Alligator mississippiensis: one gene and its partners. The protein of the gene in region 3 interacts with the protein of the main gene of each other region in a pairwise test. Links are inferred from orthologs where the notes say so. Each region holds a gene or a part of one and is shown on either strand. Other genes may lie near its edges.

The links. The genes of interacting proteins can lie anywhere in the genome.
Region 1: the proteins of CNKSR1 (region 3) and CYTH4 interact in binary tests that used the Homo sapiens proteins (3 or more experiments, as listed by UniProt). The two-hybrid records come from large-scale screens. The link is inferred for Alligator mississippiensis from reciprocal best matches to the Homo sapiens genes CNKSR1 and CYTH4.
Region 2: the proteins of CNKSR1 (region 3) and CYTH3 interact in binary tests that used the Homo sapiens proteins (3 or more experiments, as listed by UniProt). The two-hybrid records come from large-scale screens. The link is inferred for Alligator mississippiensis from reciprocal best matches to the Homo sapiens genes CNKSR1 and CYTH3.

Annotation. Positions count from the first base shown.
Region 1 is NC_081827.1:100,459,842-100,467,825, forward strand, and holds the start of CYTH4 (cytohesin-4), read right to left. Parts: upstream 3,024-7,984; 5' UTR 2,362-3,023; coding exon 2,343-2,361; intron 1-2,342. UniProt on the Homo sapiens protein: Promotes guanine-nucleotide exchange on ARF1 and ARF5. Promotes the activation of ARF factors through replacement of GDP with GTP.
Region 2 is NC_081836.1:46,925,452-46,932,938, forward strand, and holds the start of CYTH3 (cytohesin-3), read left to right. Parts: upstream 1-4,464; 5' UTR 4,465-4,538; coding exon 4,539-4,566; intron 4,567-7,487. UniProt on the Homo sapiens protein: Promotes guanine-nucleotide exchange on ARF1 and ARF6. Promotes the activation of ARF factors through replacement of GDP with GTP. Plays a role in the epithelial polarization.
Region 3 is NC_081829.1:3,230,103-3,237,590, forward strand, and holds the start of CNKSR1 (connector enhancer of kinase suppressor of ras 1), read right to left. Parts: upstream 3,057-7,488; 5' UTR 3,006-3,056; coding exon 2,954-3,005; intron 1-2,953. UniProt on the Homo sapiens protein: May function as an adapter protein or regulator of Ras signaling pathways.

The DNA of each region.
Region 1 (7,984 bases), on a different chromosome or scaffold from region 3:
GCTGACTCTCCCTCACCTAACGGAACCAACGTCTCCATCTGCATACAGTTCTCTTGTATAGCAGCACACCCAGTGTAAGTCCACAGCACAGGTGAATGTGTCTACCTTTCCACCTCAGCCATGGACTCTGATGGAAGCTGAGGCCCACTGGTGGCAGAACAATTTCTCCAAAAACTACGGATCAGCAAGCTTTTATCACTGAATGAGCCACCAAATCAATGTAATCTCTTGATCCCTAGACAATGCCTCTGACACAGAGAGTGAGGCTGGCTTTTGAAGTGGTGCTGGCTAGCTGTGGTCCTGGGGTAGCTAGGCATTTTTGCACTGCTTCAAAGTAGGTCTTCTGCAACTGGTCCATCATCTCGTTCTGTGTTTGTACAGCGCCTAACATCACAGGATACTGGGGCACCACTCCAGGACAAATCCCAAATGGTAAAAAGAACTCATTCTGTCTATTCACAAAAGTAGGACAACTTCCCTTACATGGCAGACAATGCATTTGGAGAGCCACGTTTTCCTTGAACAACTAACCTGAAAAAAATATGTCCCTGCTTTGTACAGAGAGGTGAGGGCTCTCCCTGCCCTGGTTTTGCTAGTCTATGAGCTGGTTGCAACACTTCCTTTCAGGCACTAAGGGCCTGATTTTCCTAAGAACTCTAGTCCCCTTTAGACAGCTAAAGGAAGTGGCCAGAGACTGAGAAGCGCTCAGTGCCCAGCCTCTCTTGCAACAGCTTGAGAGAACTTCAAGGAAATCGGGCCCCTTGGTGCAGGATTTGACGTGGGGACCAGAGGGTTTTCAGCTCCCACTCCTTGTTCATGGCCTTAGCTATGCCATCTATGTGGATGTGAGGTGATATCAGAGACAGATGGCAGCTGTGTCCTTGTGTTAAGATCCTTTGTATTTTTCCCCCTGGAGAAAGTGTGTCCTCTCCCTTGAAACCTCATGTCCTTTCTCAGCATGGGTCACACCCAATATCTGCCTTTTGGGATTGCCTCCAGAGCACCTTTGTCTACTAGATCCCAGGTCTGCTGCACTGCACCCAGCAAACCAGGAAATCAAAGAGTTTTGATCTTTCTCAGCCCCTGGGTTTGTGGCTAATTTCCTCCCACCTACTTCTGCCTCTCTATACCCCTCTAAAACAACTGCTGCAAGGAAAGCGAGAGATTCAGGCTGATCAATCTTTCTTCTTCTCTTGGGGTGGGGGTGGGGGCAGGTGGAAAAGTATTTAGCTGTGCTATCCTAAAGTCAGGTAGAGGCAGGGCAGGGTGGCACTTCAGGTTGGTGTTTCTCAACCAGAGCACTGCAATATACTTTTAAGGGTGTCCTGCAGTGCCATGTAATATTAGCACTGTTAGGTGTGCAAAAACCTTCACAGGATGAGCAGAGAGATTTTAAAATAGGAATCCATAGTGTCACAGATATTTTGACCTATTGTGGTTTTCCTGAGTTCTTTGCAACAGAAGAATTGCTCTATTATTTTTCTGTAGTTAAAAAACAAGTGAAAGCTCAAAGCTGGCATTTTCTGAGGGGTCCTTGAATCTAAAAAGGTTCAGAACCACTGTCCTAGAGAGTGACTGGTTCAAAGAAGCACAAGCATTTGTCAGCAACAGACTGCTTCATCAGGTGCTAACAACCCTCCTCTCTGGGGGGCTGATTTATTATTACTGTGCCCCAGGTAGTCACTTGCAATGCACAGTCGGTGCAGATTTGCACCACATGAAGACACTGGTAATTTACAGCCACTGTCCACTGGTCTGATCCTGGTAGAAATGACTATGCTGGGTGCAGTGCAAGGGTGAATCAGCCCTGCCTGGTGCAGGAGGACTATGTTGTAGCATTTGCAGTCTGCTCTTTCTGCACCTCTATTCCTGTCACGCTGAGGCTACATCAAAGGAAACCATTGTCTGTAGTCACATGTTGACCACCATCCCAAGTGCCACGTACTCCTGATACCCTAGCTTGGGCCAGGAAAATTGCACTCTACCCTTTTGCCACCTACCTAGGCTGAGGGTCAGCCTCTGAATACAGTTCTGACCCAGCTCCAATTCAAGTCGGTAGGGTGACACTGGTTGACGTCAGGGAGGAACTGTCTGGAGGTAGGGGGGGAAGCCAATACCTCGACAGAGAAGACACCTCTCCCTATAGCACATCGTCCACAAAACTACAAGCCCTTTGCAGAGCTTCTAAGAAACCTCTTGGCTATGTTCACCCGTCCCATCCCCATGGCAGCTGCTAGCCCTAATTGAGTCAATCTGACCTGACAGCATTTACAGAATGAGCAGCACTTTGATCAACAAGGCAGGGAGAAGATGTGGCCAAATCTCTTTAAGGAAAGACTTACCAATGGGACAAACATCCATGCTGAAATGTCACTCAGAGGCAAATTCTCTTTGTGCGACTGCGAGTTCCTCTTTCCCCGCTGCTCTTTCAGGCGTCTGGCAGAATTAATGCGACTTCACCCCAGAGTCTAAAATTGTGTCAGCTGGAGGAGCTGCGGCTCCACCCCCTGGTTCCTCCCCACAAGCTCATATGGGTGAGGGAAACTACAAGCTCCGACTGTTAGAAGCACGCAGACTCCGGTTACTTCTTACATAAAAACCCACAAGAGAAAGCCAGTGTGTCTTTCCATTGGCACTCGCTCAGCTCATTGCTGGGGGTGACTGTGCTCTGGTTTTATCCAGCCTGCTCTAGAGACAGAGGGAGCATAAAACAGCTGCCTTAGGGTGTGGTTTTATGATGGAGAAAGACTCCCCCCCTACCACAACTCAAAGTAGCTCAGCAATTGGTAGAGAGTGGATGAATATTCCAATATTTGTGTGGGCCTCCAGTAGGTTCCTGTTGCCAATGAAATGACATGACCTGGATCCTTTACTCCCATCTCAAATGCGTTCTCTTCTGACTAGCATCATCAGGAAGGAGTGGATCGAGCCTAGAGTTGTCCCAGTATGGAGGGAGTGTCCCAGTATGGAGGGAGCTGGCACTGACCTGACCCGAGCTATGTCTGCTCTGATGAAAAATAGAGGGCTTTAGCTGGCAGAGCAGTCAGTCTCTCTGTCACTTACTCTCTTCCTCTCTCTCCAGCCCCGGAAGGCTGCACACTTCCCCTTAAGCTAATCACTCTTGGTTGCTATGTCCGTGGTCTTTTGTACGTGACAGCCCTCATAACTTCTGCAGGAGGGGCCTTCATGCCCACACAGAAAGCTCAGCAGCTGGCGTGCACACCTTGAGATCCCCCTTTCCAAATCAGCAGGGCAAAGAATCAGCACAGACTAAGAAAAATCTAGCACATGAGGAGTATGGCTGTCTGGGCACAAAGCTTTCCCCTTGTCCAAATTACAGCTGCAAATGTTGAGAGGATGCCACTTTTCCATGCCCAATGGGCATGGGCCTGGCAAGACTCCCACTGCTTTGACAATGCAGCAGCACCCTGCTCTGTATCATTCTGGGCCATTCCAGTTTAGCCTCCCAACACCGTCAACAACACAGCAAGATGGTATAACCACCGCCTCTAAACCTAACACTGGCCTGGCATCCTGCCAAGAATCAAACACTCTATGATTGTGAGTGACTGGCATCCTGAAGACCATAGCCAGGCAGCCCTAGGGAAGACTGTGAATAGCTTGTGGTCTTTAGGATGAATCAGCAACCAGTCTTCACCCTTCAGATTCCATAGTCAAGGTTGTCTTGCAAGGAAGATGGCTACAAATTTCCTTTCGGAGGGGGGTGAAAAACGTTGTCCAGTGTAAGCTACCATTTATAGGTCCCTCAGGTGAGAGGAGATCCAACAGAACAACCCTGCAGGGGACCCATATAGATCAAGCAATGCACTGATCAGTCTTGACCTCCTGATTTCTCCATCAATCCAGTCATATAGAGAGCTCTGCTGACAGACCTCATTTATACCGACTGAATCCCTCACTCTCCAAACCTGTATCTCACACATTTCCCTGTCTTTGTCCTGGTGTACAGCTTACTGTTCCAGTACCGTGATCCCAACACAGCTCTACTGAAGAATTCACTGCTCACTTTCAGGAAACCATACCACGCCACCCCAGGACTGGATACCCCACCCTGATGCATTTCAATTGTGGCATGTAGCACCCATTGTTATTCCAGTCTTGACATATTGGCCAATAGGGCTGTGTGAAGCAGAAACATTTCATCTTGACCAATGTTTTGACAGAACAGTGTTTCATTTTGACTTTTATTTTGAGTTGAAATGGCAGTTCCATTTCGTTCCGTCGAAACGTTTTGCTGTTTTGACCCTGTTTCGATGTTTCGCCCATAGGATATAATGGGGAAGGTTGAAACAGGCTACAATTTTGTGATTTCTGGCCAGATTTGGATGAAACTTGCAAGAATAGTAGTATCTTCTGAGGGCATGACGCATGCTAAGTTTCAAGAAGATAGGTACATGGGGTTCAGAGAAAATGCACCCCAAAATCCTGAAAGTAAAACTTGTGTCATGTGTATGTGTTAAGACACAGCGGGGTCAAAACTGCAGGCTTGCTAGCCCCTTCTGAGACTACAGAGCCTGCTAAGTTTTAAGAAGATTGGTGCAGGGCTTTGGGGAAAACTGCACCCCAAATTCTTGAAAGGAAAGCTCATGTCACATGTATGTGTTAAGCCACAGTGGAGTCAAAACTGTAGGGGTGGTAGCCCCTGGTAAGGCCACAAATCCTGCCAAGTTTCAAGGTGATAGGTGCAGGGGCTTGGGGGAAACTGCACCTCAAGCTGCTGACAGGCAAAACTCGTGATATAGATAACCCTATGTGTGTTAAGGCACAGCGGGCTGAAAACTGCAGGGGTGGTGGCCCCTGCTCAGGCCACAGAACATGGCAGATTTCAAGAAGATAAGTCAGAGGTGGGCAAAATGTGGCCTGGGGTCCGGATGCAGCCCGCCAGGCCATTCTATCTGGCCTGCAGGGCCCCTAAAAAATTTAGAAAATTAATATTAATCTGCCCTGAGCTGCCTGTCATATAGCCCTTGATGGCTTGCCAAAACTCAGTAAGTGGCCCTCTGCCCAAAATAATTGCCCACCCCTGTGATAAGTGCAGGGCTTTAGGGAAAACTGCACCTCAAGCTGTGGATAAGCAAAACTCGTGACATGGGTGCTTGTGCACCTGTGTCTGTCTTCGGGCACTGGAGGGTGGGGGAGGGACTACTGCAGGCCTGGCTGCTAAGCTACTGTGTTACCAGTTACCAATTAATCATGATTCACTCAGGGACTAGCTCAATACACAGGACCTAGCTACTACATAACAACTTAACAAGCATGGATTAACACCTACAAAACCACAGACTAAGGAGAGGAAATAATCAATACATACAATCAACGGCCCCAAGACAGACTCAGTCAGTTGCACAAGCACCCATTTCACAAGTTTTGCCTGTCAGCAGCTAGAGGTGCAGGGCCCCAGAAACCCCCTGCACTGATTTCCTTGACAGCTGGCAGGTGTCGTGGCTGCAGCAGGGGCTACCACCCCTGCAGCTTTCACCCTGCTGTGCCCTAACACACACAGTGTCACCCATGTCACGAGTTTTGCTTGTCTGCAGCTTTGAGTTACAGCTTCCCCCAAACCCCTGCACTTATCTCCTTGAAACTTGGCAGGCTTTGTGGCCTCAGCAGGGGCTAGCAAGCCTGCAGTTTTGACCCTGCTGTGGCTTAACATATACATGTGACATGAGTTTTGCTTTCAGGATTTAGGGGTGCAGTTTCTCTGAACCCCCTGCACCTATCTCCTTGAAACACAGCAGGCTTTCTGGCCTCAGCAGGGGCTAGCATTCCTGTAGTTTTGACCCTCCTGTGGCTTAACACATACAGAGGACACATTTGGCTCAGGATTTTGGGGTGCAGTTTCTCCAATCTCCCTGCACCTATCTTCTTGAAACTTGGAACTCTTTATGCCCTCAGAAGAAGCTACCATTTCTGCAAGTTTTATCCAAATCTGGCTAGACATGGCAAAACTATAGGCTGTTTTGACCTTCCCCATTATAGCCTATGGGCGAAACGTTGAAACAGCATCGAAACAGCAAAACGTTTTGACTTGCCTCATTTCATTTCAAAGCTGTTTTGGCCGTATCTGTTTCATTTTGATGTTGCTGTTTCAACCTCAAAACAGGTCGAAACAGAGTCAAAACAAAACTGGTGGCAAAATTTCGCACTGCCTTATTGGCCAATACACCTCACTCTGGCTCTACAGCACCTTCTGCTACGCACTCCTGGCTCCTGACCCAACCCAAAAGAGCAGGTGCGCTCACTAATCACCACGTCCCTTCTATACAGGCATAGCAATAGTAAACAACTGTCAATCCTTCTAAACCATGGTGTACGCATGAGATGTCATCAGGACCTTTGATGCATACACCTAGGCAGGAGTATGGAGAAGTCGAAGCTGTCTAGACCTTCCATCCCCCTTTAGACAGTATCCAAAGGCCAGACCAAATCTGGAACCTCAATGACTGTAGTTACATGCACATCTGGGAAACCAAACCCAGGTCTCCTGCATGACAGAACAAGGGTTTTACCACTGAACCACAACAGCAGGTTATATGGACATAAATTTTAACAAAAATATATAAAAAGGGACATTGACCACTACCTACAAGGGGAGAAATTCTATGTATGTTCTACTATTCCAGGCTTAAGCTCTAAGATAGAAGATCATCTGTTTTGTGGAACCATGTGGTGTCTTTATAATGCAGCTAGACGTCTAGCACATACTAGCGAGTGTGGCACTGGAAATTGTGTCCTTATGTGGTTTGGCATCCAAGACAGGAAGTTTGGGGAGGGGGTGTAGGAGCCTATTTTTTATAAGGCAGCTGCAGCTGAGACCACAAACAAAGCTGATGCCACAACCTGCTTTGTCTCAGAGTGATGCCTGAACACCACATGGCACCAAAAGGGAAAAAATACGTTGATAATATATATATTATTGGTCCCAAATTGCTGATAGTCTTTGGAAATGTGGAAGGCCCCTGGAAGAAGTTCAAACAGCACGTTACTCTGCCCCAGAAGCAGTGGATGACTGTAAAGGGGAAGACTTATTTTTGGCAACGGTCCTTGATGTGCTTAATAGTTTTCAATTAACTCAGGCAGAGACCTAACTATGAAACTGGAGTGCAGAAATTTGAGGATTACTGTACTCCAAGTAAAAAAGAAACATACTAACAATGTGGCTTTTATCAGAGAGGACAACAGGAATGTGAAACTGTAGTGGGGTAATCTGAGGCCAAAGTTGTTGCAATTTTTGCAGGGATAACTACATTGGGATTTTGAACAAAAAAAAAAAAAAAATCAGAAAGGGATTCCTGGAAGGCCCACAATGAACTCCTAGCAAAGAGCTTAAGGTTGCCAGGAATGGGAATCACCTTGTCCAGAATGAGGCGTGCAGAGTGTGGACAGTGCAATATGATGGAGATTCCAAAATACCACAAAAAAGAGATGTGAAGCAGAAAAACACAGGGAACTCAAAAGTCAGAGACCAGCATGAACAGCAGCATGAGGAACTGAACATGCTGCAGCAACCTGCTCAAGCCACAGCAATGCTCAGCAAATGGGAGGAGATGGAAAAAATCTGCAACAGGTTACAGCCCTTTTCAAGAGTATGGTAGGCCAGCAAAGAACATGCAGCATGGACAAAAGGAGTGTCCTCTCTAGCTCATATGAATTTCTCACAAGAGTGGTAGATAGGGCTGCAGCACAAGATGAGGGGACTACAAACCTGAAAGCAAACAAGGCACTTATTACCTTTAAATTGGACACTGGTTCACAAGTCAAGGAGTTGTGAGAAACACCGTTAGCAATTCTAAAAAAAGGCACCGATAGGAGGAGATAAACAGATACCACTCAAAGCTTACCGTGGAGAGTTTATTCCCACTTAAGGATTGTGGGAACTAGATGTATGAGTAAATAATAAATTGGAAAAGAAAGGGTTTGTAACAGTACCGTGGAAGAGAGTACTCATTATTGGGTTAAAGTG
Region 2 (7,487 bases), on a different chromosome or scaffold from region 3:
TATGCCAATGGTCCTGCTGGGATTTAGAAAAGGTGGAGGTTCTTGGCTAAGGTCTTGCTCCTCCACTCAGGGTCAGTCCAGCTGCTATATTTGGGATCAGGGAGGAATTCCCCCCCTATCCCCATGGTCATATCAGCATAGACTGATTTCCTCTGTAGCGGGGGACATGGTCTTCTTCTTTGAATCCATCAAACTTGTTTTAACAAACTGCTTCCTGTCCTTGCAGTGCCAGGCACTGGTGATGTGTAGGGGGTGCAGGAGTGCCGTGAGTGTGGCAGTGCACCCCTTGCAAAAAGGCACTGCCGACACTGCCAGCAGCATCTGCGGGCGGTGGCCACTCGCCACTGCCCCCCTGCTGCTGACACCGCCTGCAGGTGGTCTGTGATGGGCACTGGCTGCCACTGCTGGCAGTGTCTGCAGGTGGTTGCTAACCACTGGTCGGCAGTCACCAGCCCTCTCCCTTGCCACCGACAGCACCACAGCCGCCTGTGGAAGCTCCCCACTTGCTGCTGCCATGGTCCTGCTGCCACCTGCAGGAGCTTGTTGTGCCTCCCCAGCCTCCAGGGGCACGCAGCGTTCATGGTGCCAGAGCATTAATAGAGACCTCATTCCCCTGCTTTACCAGTAGCAAGTTACTATGTGTTTGGTTTTTTTTTTTAAATGCCCAATGTTTTTGGGCATTGTGGTTGGTAGTTGTGCAAGAAGGTTGTTTATGCAGTTTTAGGGATAGGTTAGACAAACACTTGTATAGGTTTAGATGGGAATGATCCTACCTTTAGGAGAGGGTAGGACTAGATCAGGGGTTGCCAACCTGTGGCACAAGTGCCAAAAATGGCACAGGCAGCCTGTATGTGTGACATGCAGCAGATCAGAGAGGGGACAGCCAGCACAGCAGCAGATAGGGCAGGGAGCATAAGGCAAAACAGGAGATCAGGCAGGAACCACAGGACAGGAAGCAGAAAGTAGAGCAGCAAATTGAACAGAGGAAGGGGATTGGAGAGGCACGTGGGGAAGGGTGTAGGGCTAATTTGTGTTATGCCTGCTAAAATAGTTGACCCCCACTGAACTAGATGACTTCTTGAAGTCCAAGTTCTCTATGATTCTATGGTATAAATGGTGCATGTGTCGCATATTAGCTCTCTAACTGGGAGTATCACATCAAGTAACATCTGGCCTGTAATGGAAAAAATATTAGATGGCAAATTACTACTTAATGAAAATTGTTAAGCAAAATAGCGGTGATAAATGAACAAAAAAGACAAAATTGAACCAAACCTAAAAAAGAAAGTAAGACAAACTGGATTGCCTCAAACCCAACAAATACCTGTCTGTCAACAATTAATAGGACTAACTGTGCCAACTTCAAAGTTCCTGGAAGATTTTTAGCTGTCCTAAAGATTAAGGCAATTCAATAAAAGATATTTTTTTACACTGAATAGCAGGTTCTGAAATTCTAAGAGCATAACATATAATATGTCTGAATCCAAAATTAATTAAATATGAAAATGTGAGAAAAATGAGACATAACTTGATAGAGGAAAGTATAAAGAACACGCAGCCTTTAGAAAGCTGATTTAAAACAACAATACAGTGTAAAGGGAAACAGTGCACCTGGGAAATCAGGGTCCAAAATATAATACTCACCAGGGCTCCAGAAGAGAAACCTGATCCTGTTCTATTTGCAGAATAATTAATTTTGAATATAAAGTGGATATTAAAGAGGCACTCATCTCTGTGGGTAAAATGATACAAAGATGAAAATGACAGTTGGAGAAAACAGATTTATAATGGAATAAAAAAAACGGACTAAAAGGTACATTACAGCTGAGCAGTATGAATCCCATTTGACACATATGGAAGGTAAGGTAGAGAAGCAAAGGGTTTGATCTTAATAAATTCTATAAATTCTTACACACACACACACTCTCTCTCTCTCTCTCTCTCTCTCACTACTATGTAAAGATTAACTGGAATAATCCTGTAAGTAGAACCTGAACTGAAGTCAGGGAATTTTATACAGTACAAACTTTGATTTCTAGCCCTAACTAATTGCAAAACATCTCTTTACTGTAGTATCTAAGCACTTCCTAATGGAAAAATATATTTTTCAGTTGCTGTTTGCACCATTGAAGTCAATGGGAGTTTTTCCATTGAATGAGTTGGAGGGAGGACTCTGTTGTGGTTTGATTTTTCTTACATTTTTTTTGCATTGGAGTTTAACTTGGAACAAAAAGGAATAATAATTTTAAGTTCAACTGAAAAAGCACAGAGGAAAAAACTAGTGACAAACAAAAGCAGTAATACAAGATAATGCATCTAGGCAGGCACTGCAATAGAGGTGAAATGAAAAGCCAATAATCTGTGTACAGTCAAATTTTAATTTTGCTCAATTGTATTAAAACCTGATTACTATATTGTTAAATATGCACCTTTTAAACATCTCCTTTCTTCTACTACTGTACTGTGTAATCATGTTATTGTTTCTATGTGGAAGGTAATAAATACATGTAATACAATTTAATTAAGAAAATAAAATAAGAGGACTATTTTAAAGGGTGGATGAGATTTACATGATTTCTCACAGAGCAAAAAAGTTTCCTGTGCAGAGGTTACTTGAGCCAAACACTAGGGACAGGTACAGACATTACACTTGAACAGCATAAGTCATGAGAAACGGGTCTATACCTGTAACAGAACAGAAATTCGGCACATATAGATGGATTAAAAATGGCAGAACCAGATCTATGATTTGCCAATCCCACCAAAGGGCAAACATGTTCTGTTTGCTACCAATCTAAACTACGCTGCTTACAGAAAACTGCGTAATTTAGACCAATTCCACCTTGGACTTTTTTGAACCTAGCCTGAGTCTCAGCAAAACTGATTATACCATAATTACCACCTCTAAGCAGTGGTGTTACAAGGTGGGTGGCACTGATACAACTTCCTGTGCTCTAACCTGACCAACACCAGGTCATGTTAATGTAAGTTAATTTTCCTATATTATAGGAAATAATTTATTATAGAAGATAATTATAGTGGCACACACCTCATATTGTAGGAAAATTAAATAATGCATATTCCTCATTGCTGACCCCTTCCTTCCCACACCTTCTTCTCTGTATAAAATATTGACATCAAATGATTAAGAGTAAAATAACAAAAGAGACTTTATTCTATTCTCTATTGTGTGGATGCTTCTGTTCACCGGTGTGGGTTTGGATACTGTCACCCCAGCTCCTTCAAAAGGTCTGAGGTCCTGAAAGCAGCACTATGGGCCTGACAAATCCCATAAAAAGGATTCTGAGGTGAGCATGTCACATGCGCAGTACAGACAACCCTCACTTAGCGCTCTTACTTGGTTCCTGAAAAACTGAGCATCAAATGAAACGAGTGTTAAGTATTTGACTACCCAAGACGGAGACCACAATTGTTTTTAATGACCTAAGATGGTGACCACGAGCATTATGACGAAACTTGCAGAGCGCTAAGTGAAATCAGGTATCAATTTAAAATGAGCGTTATAATGAAATAGCATTAAGTGAAACAGCGTTAAATGGGGGTTGCCTGTATGTAAACTTACTATGAAAAACGCGTCTCCCTGACACTCTTGGGTGCTCGTGGAGAAGCGGATATTTAGCCCCCATACAGTGTTGAACGGGGGGGGGTCTCAGCAAATGTACAAACATGAGGGGGCCACGAAGCAGCCCAGACTGACCGCAGTGGTTTCAGGGGGCTGCAGAAAGGACCTGCAGCCTTGAACAATGCGTGCCCCCGAGGCCTGGGGGGGACACAGCGACCAGCTACCGGCGGTGGCAGCGGTGTTGGCAGTGGAGCACTCTCACAGGCGGTCATGGTGGTGTCAGCGGTGGGGAAGGTGGTGAGAGCTGACCAGCGATCGAGGACCTCCCACAGACGCCACCCGCAGCGTGGATGGCGAGGGGTGCGAGGTGTCGGCCCACGACCGCAGGGGGTGCGCTGCCAGTCTCAGGGGGTGCACGTGCACCTGCGGCGCCAATGCCTGCAGCTATGGCTCGCGGCCCGCTGCACTGCCAACCCAGTTGCCCGTTTTCCCAGTTGGGTCGGTGGCGAGCGATAAAACCCTGGGAAGAACCGGCAAGGGGCGCGCTACCCAGCGCAGGCCCCGTCCCCTGGCAAGTGGCCCCCCAGCCCCTGCTCTGCAGCCGCCCTGCCCGCAGGCCCGCTGCCCCACAGCCCCGCTGCCCCTCGCGGCCCCTCGGCTCGTGTGCGCAGCCAAGGCCGGGCGCTGCCTCCGCGGCTCGGGGCCGGGCGCCAGTGTGCGGACGCGGCGCCACACGGCACTGTTTGCCCGGGGCTGCCACAACGCGGCGCGGCTCGGCGCGGCGAGGGTGCCCGTGTCCCGCGCGTCTCGGGCCGCCCGGCGGCGCCAGGAGCGGCGGCTCGGTCCCTCCCCGCGCGGTCACATGAGGGCGGGGGCGGATCGCGGGGCGGCGGCTGGGGCTGGGGTTGTCGCTGGCGGCGGGCGGCGGACGGCGCCGAGGGACGCAGCGCCCGGCATGGACGAGGAGGGCGGCGGAGGAGGCGGTGAGTGGCGGGGCCGGGCCGGTGCGCAGGCCGCGGGCAGGGGCCGGGGCCCTCGCCTCGCCTCGCCGCTGCCACCGCCTGCCCCGAGCCCAGCCTGCCCGTGTGCCTCCCCTGCGCACGGTCTCCCTCAGCCGCCGCCCCGGCTCCCCTCACGCGTCTCCCCGCGTGGCTGTGGGCACGAAGCGGCCAAGCGCTGTGGGAGGAGACGCGTGGCAGCGGGGTCCCGGGTGGCGGCTCCTGCCATCGCGGGTGCGGGGGCGGCTGGGCCGGGGACGGCTGGAGGCTCTTGGCCCCCTTGACTCCCTCGCCCCCCACAAAGGTCAGGCATTTCTGAGGGAGGGGGGAAAAACGAAGCCACATTTGCTCAGGGAAGTGCTGGGAAAGAAAAGTGCTGGTGTTGCAAAGAGCCTGAAGAAAGGAAGAGAGGCAGCCTGTGTCGGGTACGAGCGGAGGGACAGAAGCAGTCGGTGTGTTTGTCTACAGATGGCCGAGCGGTGCAGTCGACTTGCCCCCGCGGTGTCACGCTGACAGCCGGGCGCTTGTTCTCACAATGAAACCCTTGCGCTTTCTCTAGGTATCTGCTGCTCCCGGCAAAAACGATGTGTACCTTGCAGCAAATGTACAGTCAAGAGGATAATTATGTTCTGCAACAGCTTCGTGTTTGTGTGTGTCATCCTAGTGTAGAAGCGATGGTAATCACTGAGTGGTTCTTCCAGTTTAAACAGGGTAGATGATTTCAAGACACAGTACGCTGGTGTTTCCAAATACACCTTTTAGAAAATAGTGACATAGGTTTTGCAGCATCCTTTAATACAGCTACTGCCTTTCAAGGCTTAAGACTGTGCATCAACACAATTTAAGAAACCTCAAACCAGATTTGCAGAGTTTCTATTTAATTTCAGTGCATTCTGTGTATTTAGCTTTTGTCTGAATTGTCAAATCTTGAATATCAGCAGCAATAAAGATGCTACCTAGGTGTAGTCCAGATCGGTGGTGGTATTCCAAGATGAAGTAGTTCAGTTTAGTTAGAACTCTTGATTAACAACCATCATCTGGTAGGAATGAATGTTTTTGTTTCTTTATAAATATGTGAAGCAGTAGTTAAAAGCAGTATGATTAATACTTCAGCACTGTGGGCATGTCTGCATGAGACATGTTAATGCGCATTAGCCTAAACAGGCATGTATCTACATGTGCATGCCCTTAATGCCCATTAAAAATGGCAAAATTAGGCTAATGCAGGTATCAAATTTAGGTGCTTTTAGTTAAAGCACAGTATGGCACGTATAGACACAACCTGGCACTAACTTTAGTGCCCAGGGCTGCCCAGCCGCTAGGGGCACATGGCAGGGTTGCAGGGACTTGGTGCCAAATGCACCAACTGTAGTGCCTAGTCCTTGCATCTATAGACATGTGCCAAAAATTATTTAATGTGTATTAGCTTAATCTTCATTGAATTTTGTCGCGCTTAAATGCATGTGTAGATGCGCTGTAAAGGTAATAGGATCTGGAATCAAGCGGGTATAGCGAGTGTTTTGATAAGCGGGGAAAAAAATATCTTGATGAATCAGTAGCATCACAGAAAACCATCCTACAAACAGTGTCTGCAAACGTGAATATTCTCATCCATTATTTCTCTTACTTGTTTCGTCAACAATAGATTTAACTTTCCTTAAAAAATGAAAAAGCAAAAAATGCATTAAAAGTGCAGATTGATATTTACTTTGAAAATTTCTAATACCAAACATTCTAATAGTGAACAGCAGAAATAGTAGTAAATAAAATCTTCCTGTTCAAAAAAATTAGTATGCTTATACTATATGATTGAATTTTCACCTGTACTGAGGTTGCATTAATATGCTTATTAATATTGAATATAATTAACTTGATATCTTTCCTTTATTTAAGTTTGTCTCAGCTCAAAAGACATTTCAGTACTGTGGACCAAATGAAAAACTGGTTTCTTAACCCTTGAGTCCAATTCTGTTATATGAAGACAGACCCTTTTTGAGGTTCTGAGCATCCTCATCTCCCACTAAGTCCATTGGCTTTGAAACAGTTAACAGTTTTGTAAAGATTGGGACCTCAAAATGCATGTATTTGTCGCCAAAGCAGTCAAATTCAGTTTTTTCCCCCAGATAACTTGTCACGTCTTTAATAAATAAATAAAAAATCTAGTTGACTATACAGTTACCATCCTTTGGTTGTCTTCATTAGGTTATAGACTAAGTTAACGAAATGGCTGAGGTTTTACAATAAGTTTGTGAACAGTTACATTAGCTTCCTGGGAATATTAAGTAAAAAAAATCACAAGAAAAACAGCATTAGGTCTTTTCTTGCATGATCAATACATTCACTAATACAATATGATAAACTCACTTATTAAAAATAACTCATTTTTGGGAATGACATAGAATGAAAGAAATGGTTTTCTTCTGTCAGTAGAATGCAGGTGAAAAGTAAAGAGTTGTTTTGAAATCTAGTCAGCTTTATGCTGAGTTAACAGTAGTCTTGCCTGGAAGACCCACAAACTGTGTATTAAATTCACAAAGTAAGTGAACTGGAGAGAGTGACTGAATGGTTAGGACATTGGACTGGGATCCAGAAGACACATTTTTGTATGTCACCGGTTTGCTGTGAACTTGGTTCACCTCCTTTTCCTTGTGTTCCTTATCTGTACAGTGGAGGTAGCTCTGCTTATGTCCTTAAAGCATTTTGTAAAATGCTTTAAGATCTGTGGATAAAAGGTTAGAAGTTATTATTTTAAGGAGATTTGATGGAGGAGCAGATGCTAATTCAGGACATGCTCGTTATTTGTTATTATTATTTTTTCTCCATGTAGTTTAAATGTGGGTAAAAAGGTCTATATTATACTTTCTGGTTTCATACAAAACTATTTTGGTGCTTTGATTTGATTTCAG
Region 3 (7,488 bases):
GCATGGCGGCAGCCACGGTCCCACTAAGGGGAATGCCTTACTGGACTGGTACTGGCAACGGGGGACGACATGGTAGGGGACCTACGGATCGGTGGTCACCTGGGGGACAGTGATCACCTAATAATAGAATGCACCATAAGACGTCGAGTGGGTAAGGTAACTAGTAGGGTGAAAGCACTGGACTTTAGGAAAGCTGATCTCAATGAGCTCAGGCGATTAGTCAAGGACGCACTGCAGAGTAGGAGTTTTGAAGAGATGGGAGCCCAGGAAGGGTGGCTGTGCCTTAAGGAAACGATCCTTCAGGCACAAAGGGAGACGATCCCGATGCGAGGAAAAAGAAGGAAAGGGGCCAGGAGGCTTCCTTGGCTGACCAGAGAAATCCAGGGCAGCCTGCGGGCCAAAAGGGGGGCACATAAAAAGTGGAAACAGGGAGAGATCACCAAAGAGGAGTATACCTCCTCTGCTTGTGCTTGTAGGGAGGCAGTTAGATGGGCCAAAGCTACCATGGAGCTGAGGATGGCATCCCAAGTAAAGGATAACAAGAAATTGTTTTTTAGATATATAGGGAGCAAAAGGAAGGCCCAGGGAGGAATAGGACCGCTGCTAAATGGGCAGAAACAATTGGTGACGGACAGGGGGGACAAGGCTGAACTCCTCAACGAGTTCTTTGCCTCAGTGTTCCTAAGCGAGGGACACGACAAGTCTCTCACTGGGGTTGTAGAGAGGCAGCAGCAAGGCGCCAGACTGCCATGCGTAGACCCTGAGATGGTGCAGAGTCACTTGGAGGAACTGGATGCATTTAAGTCGGCAGGCCCGGATGAGCTCCATCCGAGGGTGCTGAAGGCACTGGCCGACATCATTGCAGAGCCACTGGCAGGAATATTTGAACGCTCGTGGCGCACAGGCCAGGTCCCGGAGGACTGGAAAAGGGCCAATGTGGTCCCCATTTTCAAGAAGGGGAGGAAGGAGGACCCGGGCAACTATAGGCCAGTCAGTCTCACCTCCATCCTTCGCAAAGTCTTTGAAAAAATTATCAAGGCTCACATTTGCGAGAGCCCGGCAGGACAAATTATGCTGAGGGGAAACCAGCACGGGTCTGTGGCAGGCAGATCATGCCTGACTAATCTAGTCTCTTTTTAAGACCAGGTTACAAAATGCCTGGACACAGGAGGAGGGGTGGATGTCGTATACTTAGACTTCAGGAAGGCCTTCGATACGGTATCCCACCCCATACTAGTGAACAAGCTAAGAGGCTGTGATGTGGATGACTACACAGTCCGGTGGGTGGCGAATTGGCTGGAGGGTCGCACCCAGAGAGTCGTGGTGGATGGGTCGGTCTCGACCTGGAAGGGTGTGGGCAGTGGGGTCCCACAGGGCTCGGTCCTTGGACCGATACTCTTTAATGTCTTCATCAGCAACTTGGACGTGGGAGTGAAGTGTACTCTGTCCAAGTTTGCGGATGACACAAAACTGTGGGGAGAAGTGGACACGCCGGAGGGCAGGGAACAGCTGCAGGCAGACCTGGACAGGTTGGACATATGGGCGGAAAACAACAGAATGCAGTTCAACAAGGAGAAATGCAAAGTGCTGCACCTAGGGAGGAAAAATGTCCAGCACACCTACAGCCTAGGGAATGACCTGCTGGGTGGCACAGAGGTGGAAAGGGATCTTGGAGTCCTAGTGGACTCCAAGATGAACATGAGTCGTCAGTGTGACGAAGCCATCAGAAAAGCCAATGGCACTTTATCGTGCATCAGCAGATGCATGACGAATAGGTCCAACGAGGTGATACTTCCCCTCTATCGGGCGCTGGTCAGACCGCAGTTCAAGTGCGGTGCCCAGAATTGCACGCAGTACTCCAAGAGGGATGTGGATAACCTGGAGAGGGTCCAGAGAAGGGCCACTCGTATGGTTAAGGGCCTGCAGACCAAGCCCTACGAGGAGAGACTAGAGAACCTGGACCTCTTCAGCCTCCGCAAGAGAAGGTTGAGAGGCGACCTTGTGGCTGCCTATAAGTTCATCACGGGGGCACAGAAGGGAATTGGTGAGTATTTATTCACCAAGGCGCCCCGGGGGTTACAAGAAACAATGGCCACAAGCTAGCAGAGAGCAGATTTAGACTGGACATTAGGAAGAACTTCACAGTTGGAGTGGCCAAGGTCTGGAACAGGCTCCCAAGGGAGGTGGTGCTCTCCCCTACCCTGGGGGTCTTCAAGAGGAGGTTAGACGAGTATCTAGCTGGGGTCATCTAGACCCAGCACTCTTTCCTGCCTATGCAGGGGGTCGGACTCGATGATCTATTGAGGTCCCTTCCGACCCTAGCATCTATGAATCTATGCTATGAAACCATGTCAATAGATACTCAAAAGGTCCCGGGGAGAAGCGGAGGAAGCAAACCCCCCGCTCCAGGCTGTACCCATCTGACCATGGAGGGAATTCCTTCCTGCCCCCAATGCAGCGCTGGTCCGACCCGGAGCGGAGGGGCAAGACCCTCCAGCCAGGACCCTCCAGCTCCGGTCCCAGCAGCCAAAGTCCCCAGCCTGGGCTGCAGCCAACACCCAGCGCCTCCGAAGGAAGCAGAAAACTCCCGGACACACCTAGCAGACAGGGTGCGGGGGAAGCCCAGAAGCCTGGGCAATACCCGCTCAGAGGTGAAGCCAGCCGAGCCCCCCAAGCCCCGGCCGGTCGGCGAACCTGTCCTTTCTTTCCCCCCGGACACGAGCAGGGCGGTGTTAGGCGGCGGGACCCCGGCCCCGCGCCGCCGCGGGGGCAGCGCGCAGCCGGGCGGTGGCACCAGGCTGCCCCGCGGGGCGAGTGCAGCGCACGGACGGGGTCGCCGTGCCCCGGGGCTCCCGCACCCTCGCCCCCACCACCACCGGGGGGCAGGCGCCAGCGGTGCCCCCCGCCCCCCGCTCCTGCCCGGCCCGACCCCTCCCCACCTTGCCGTGCTCACCCCTCAGCCACCGTGCCACCCGCGCCGGGCTCCAGGCGCCCACCGGCTCCATGCCCGGAACAGCCCGGCCCGGCCCGGCCGCGCACCTGAGCCCGCAGGTACCTGGCAGCCGGGCGGGGTTGGCGCAGCCGCCTGCCACTCAGCCGGGAAGCCCGCCCCGGGTGGGGATCGGGATCGGGGCCCTCCCCGGGGAGGCGCTGCGCCCGGGACGGCCCCGCCCGGGGCCCTGAGCCCCCCCCACGCCCCGACACTCCCACCTCTCGGCCTCAGTGTTCCCACCTGTAACATGGGCCGGCCGCGGGTGGCTGGAGACGGCGGGAACGGGCTGGAAGGGAGATCCGGAGGTCATTTCTAGTCCAGTCCTCATCGTCTTCCAAACTGCGTAAGAGGACGGTCACCCTGGTACGACACACCTCGCGCCCACGGTGCCGCAGCGAAGGAGGGGAACCGCGGCAGCCCACGTCCTGCGTCTGCCAACGCTGCCAGTGCACCCCCGCGACATCCTGGGGACAGGCCGTGCCCCCCAGGTACGGGGGCAACCGCCCCAGTCCGTACCCGTCCGACCACGGGGGGACTTTCCTTCTGGACCCCCGGTATAGAGAGCGGCCTGCCCCCGAGCGGACAGGCAAGAGCCCCCAGCCAGGCCCCTGGCACGGCCCGGTGCCCAGAGCAGGTCTGGGTAGACTACCCTGGGCATCGGGGAGATGACGACAAGCCACAAAACCAAACGACTGCCTCCGCGTGGCCTGGCTAGACGCGCCACGGCCTCCCAGGCGCCTGCTTGTAACCTTTGGGCGGAGCAGGAATCAAGGGGGGTGGGGGGTGCAAGTGCACCCCTGGGTCCGCCCGGCACTGGCAGGGAAGGTGGGGGCTGTGAATGCTCAGCGATCCAGAGGCCAGAAGCAAGGGGGTCGGGGGACACCTCCCCCAGGACCAGTGGCACGGCAGGGCTGGGGTGCCACCTCTGCACGGCGCGGCGGGTCGGCAGGAAGGTGTGGTAGAAGCACACGGCGCTATTAATAAGCGCTGCTATGACAGCAGCCAAACACGGTGGCCTGACTCACCCCGTGGCAGCAAACAGGTCTGGGCTGACTTCACGCTGGGAACGGTTTGCCCCGACGTGAAAAGCGGGGCCTGGCATTCGGGAACGCCTCGTTCCTGCAGCCCACGCGCACCTCCCGTCTCATCGGCGCGCAGCCCCAGCCCCGTTGCATCACAGCAGGCCGGGATGTTGTTGTCATCCTCCAGGATTTCCTGGGCATTAGTCAGTGTTTTGGGTGCTGCACATTGCCAGGGTGTCAGCCTCTTGCCTGCCGCCGTGTGAGTCAAGTACCTCCTATGTAAGAGCAGTGATAGGCCACCCAGCTCTTCCACAGCCCTCTGCACTGGTGAAAAGCTGCCTGAAGGCGGACAGGATCCTTATCCCCATTTTAGAGCTGGGAAAACTGAGGCAAGTGAGGGTACTGGAGGGAGCGGTGGTTGGCTTGTGGGCAGGAAGGCTTGCTCAAAGAGTTTCCTGCGGAGGGTCTGCTCTAGCTCTGGAAGACGGGTCCACAGCCGATGCCCGGGGCTGTGAATGCTTTGTGCCCCTCTCTGACCGACACCCCCGGCCCGGCCGGTCACTGCTTCTTGCACCGTCACAAGACCCGGCTGCAAACGCTTTTGATTTCTCCTGGAGAATGGCCTGTGGCTGCTCTCAGGCTCTGAAGCGTGATGGAGCCCCACCAATGTGGTCTGCACCAGAGTACACACACGTGTGCATGCACGCACACAACCAAAACACAGTCACAAACTTTCTCTCCCACTCACACACTCAGAGCATCAAAATACAGTCTCAGTCTCTCACTATCACACACAGAGCACCAAAACACAACCAGAGTCTCCCTCACTATTACACACACACACTACCAAAACACAGCCAAGCTCTCTCCACACACATATGCACACACTTGCGTGCCGTGGTTCCCAGCCAGCCTCTCCCCAGCCTGGCAAGTCTGCCTTCAGGGCCCGGGCTGAGATAAAAGCCCCTGTGGAGGCTGCGCTGCACCCAGAGGATTCGTTTCTGTGCCAGACGCTGGACATGCTCCTGGCTCCAGCCCTTTGCTTCCCTGGGAGCAGGGGCGCCCAGTCCACGGTGCCCCCATTGCATCCCAGGGGAAGCTGCCTTGCAGCACGTGGCTGCCAGCCTTCCCAAGGGGCTGTGACTCGGAGCCGGAGAAGCTGACCCAAAAATTGCTCAGACTCACATGGTCCCTCGGCTCCCCTGGCTGCAGGGTTGGGCTGGACCCGGGGCTCCAGCATGCACTCTGACGCCCGGAGCGGGTCCCTGCCACTGGAAAGGAGTGGTCTCCCCTCGTGCGGGGTCCCTGGGGGCTGCCAGCTCGGGCAAGCGAATGCGGCAGGGAGAACGGGAGACCCGCGGTACCAGCTCGTGTTGACGCCGAGCGGAGCCAGCACTGAGCTCACGCAGCTAAACCGGGTTAAGGCCCGAGCAGCCTGTGACTTTAACCCAGGATAAGCGCGCTCACAGCCCAGGGTAAGCACACCTACCCTCTGCACCAGGACACGCGCTCAACCCCTCCTCTGCCTGGGTGCTGCTGCAATGGGAGTTAGCGAAAGCTGGGAGGGGGCAGGGGGTGCATATTGTCTAGGGCCTGGGTGGCACATCAGGGGCGCAGCTGGACCTGGGCCTGCCCTGGTGATGTGAATTTGGCTGGAGCATCACTGTGTGCCTCAGTTTCCCCTTCTCTGCTTCACCTCCCAGGCAGGCTGGGGATGCAAATCTGCCCACCTGCCAAGTGCTTGGCAGGCCCTGGAAGATGGCTCCGGTCCCTGACAGCAAGGTGCGTGGACGCGGCACTCCCTGGGGGCCAGCACCAGCTGTGACAGGCTCCAGCTGCTGGACTGGCCCCCCCGCCATGGGGCTGAAGGCTGTGCCGCACCTGCCTCTTGTACCATCCCTGCCTGCCTCATGCTCTAGCCATTGTCCCCCAGGAAGACAACAAGGGCCATTGTTCCCATTTTGCAGATGAGGAAGTGGAGGCTCAAGGCAGCCACGTCATTTGCTCCACATCCCACGACAGACCCAGCCTCCTGGAGGCTCAGCCCAGTGCTTGAGCCACAGCATCCTCCCAGGAGGGCATCTTTCCCACAATGCAGCAGGGGAGGCCTTCCCCTGTTGGTACAGTCGTCCTGGTTTCTCCGGATCCCCATCCTTTAACCCAGCGACTCTCAGGCAGGGCAGGCTGCAGCACCCTGGGGTGCCTTGAGACCCTTTCAAGCGGGGCTGACATCAGCACGGTTGGGCGTGCATACATGATTCGTGCAATATACGTAGAGATTTCACATGGGAACCTGTAGCGTTTAAAACGTCCTTCCCTGCCACGGGCTTGCCGAGTTCTTTGCAATGGAAGAATCGCGGCTAATTTGTCTGCAGTCAACAAATGAGCAAGAGCCAAGAGTTGGCATTTTCTGGGGGGAACCCGGAGTCAGCAGAACCCCTGCTTTAACCCAACCACTCGCTCATGCCCGGTGCCCTGCCCTGAGGCCCGGGCCTTCTGCAGAAGAGACTGGAAGTGACCCCAGACCAACATACCCAGAGCCCCACCCGTTACAACGCCCCTTGCCCTGCAGATGCACCCCTCCCGCGTCTCCCATGCGCTTGATGGAGCAGCGAGCGCTGATCTCCTGTGACAGCTGCTCCCGGGGCTGGCCGCAGTCGGGATCGGCATGGGGGTGGCGCATGTGCATGCGTGCAGAGGGAAGGCGGATATTTAACAGCTCCCAGCACAGCTGCCTGGGCGCCCTGGCACTCCTGCCGCCTGGCACGCAGGGAGCAGGGTCCAGTATTACAGGTGAGCGATATATCCGTTCCGGCCTGTTTCCCTGAGGGGGAGGAATTGCAGCCCCCTGGCCACAAGCAGCAGGGAATGGAGATGGGGCGGGGGATTGGGCTCCCCACACGCCCAGCTTAAAAACAGCCGTTAGCCATGGCCTGCGGTGGAAGGGACGGTGTCGGGGCTGGCGGGGGCACCCAAGCACGCAGGGCTGGGTCCCACAAGCACCCGTAGAGCTGATGTTTGAGCCAGGGACAGGGGGAAGTAGCTGCTGCCGGCCGACATCTGGGTGCTGTCAGCGGGCCCAGACCGTGCTCTGCCCCTGCGGCACCAGCCCAGCCCACCTGGTCTTTCAGTGCTGGCCGTCTCCCTATCGCTGCCAGGAAGCCAGTGGGAGCAGAGGCCCAGCCTGCGTATGCCGAGCTGTGATCATGCGGCTCCGACTCTTAACCCCAGCGTACTTCCGCCTGCTCCAGGTAATACTTGTGTCTCCCCTCACCCCATGATCTCAACCCCAGGGCTACCAGCCCCGCTGCTAGGGCATCCCTCACCCCAGCTCACCCTGAGGTCTCACGGCTCCAGGGAGGCCTCTTTGCTCACGGTCCCCTGGCCCCACTGCAGCCAGAACTGGAACCATTCCTTCATCGCATGGATCAAGGGGACTTGGGCTTGGTCACGTCCACCGCCAGAGGGTGGATG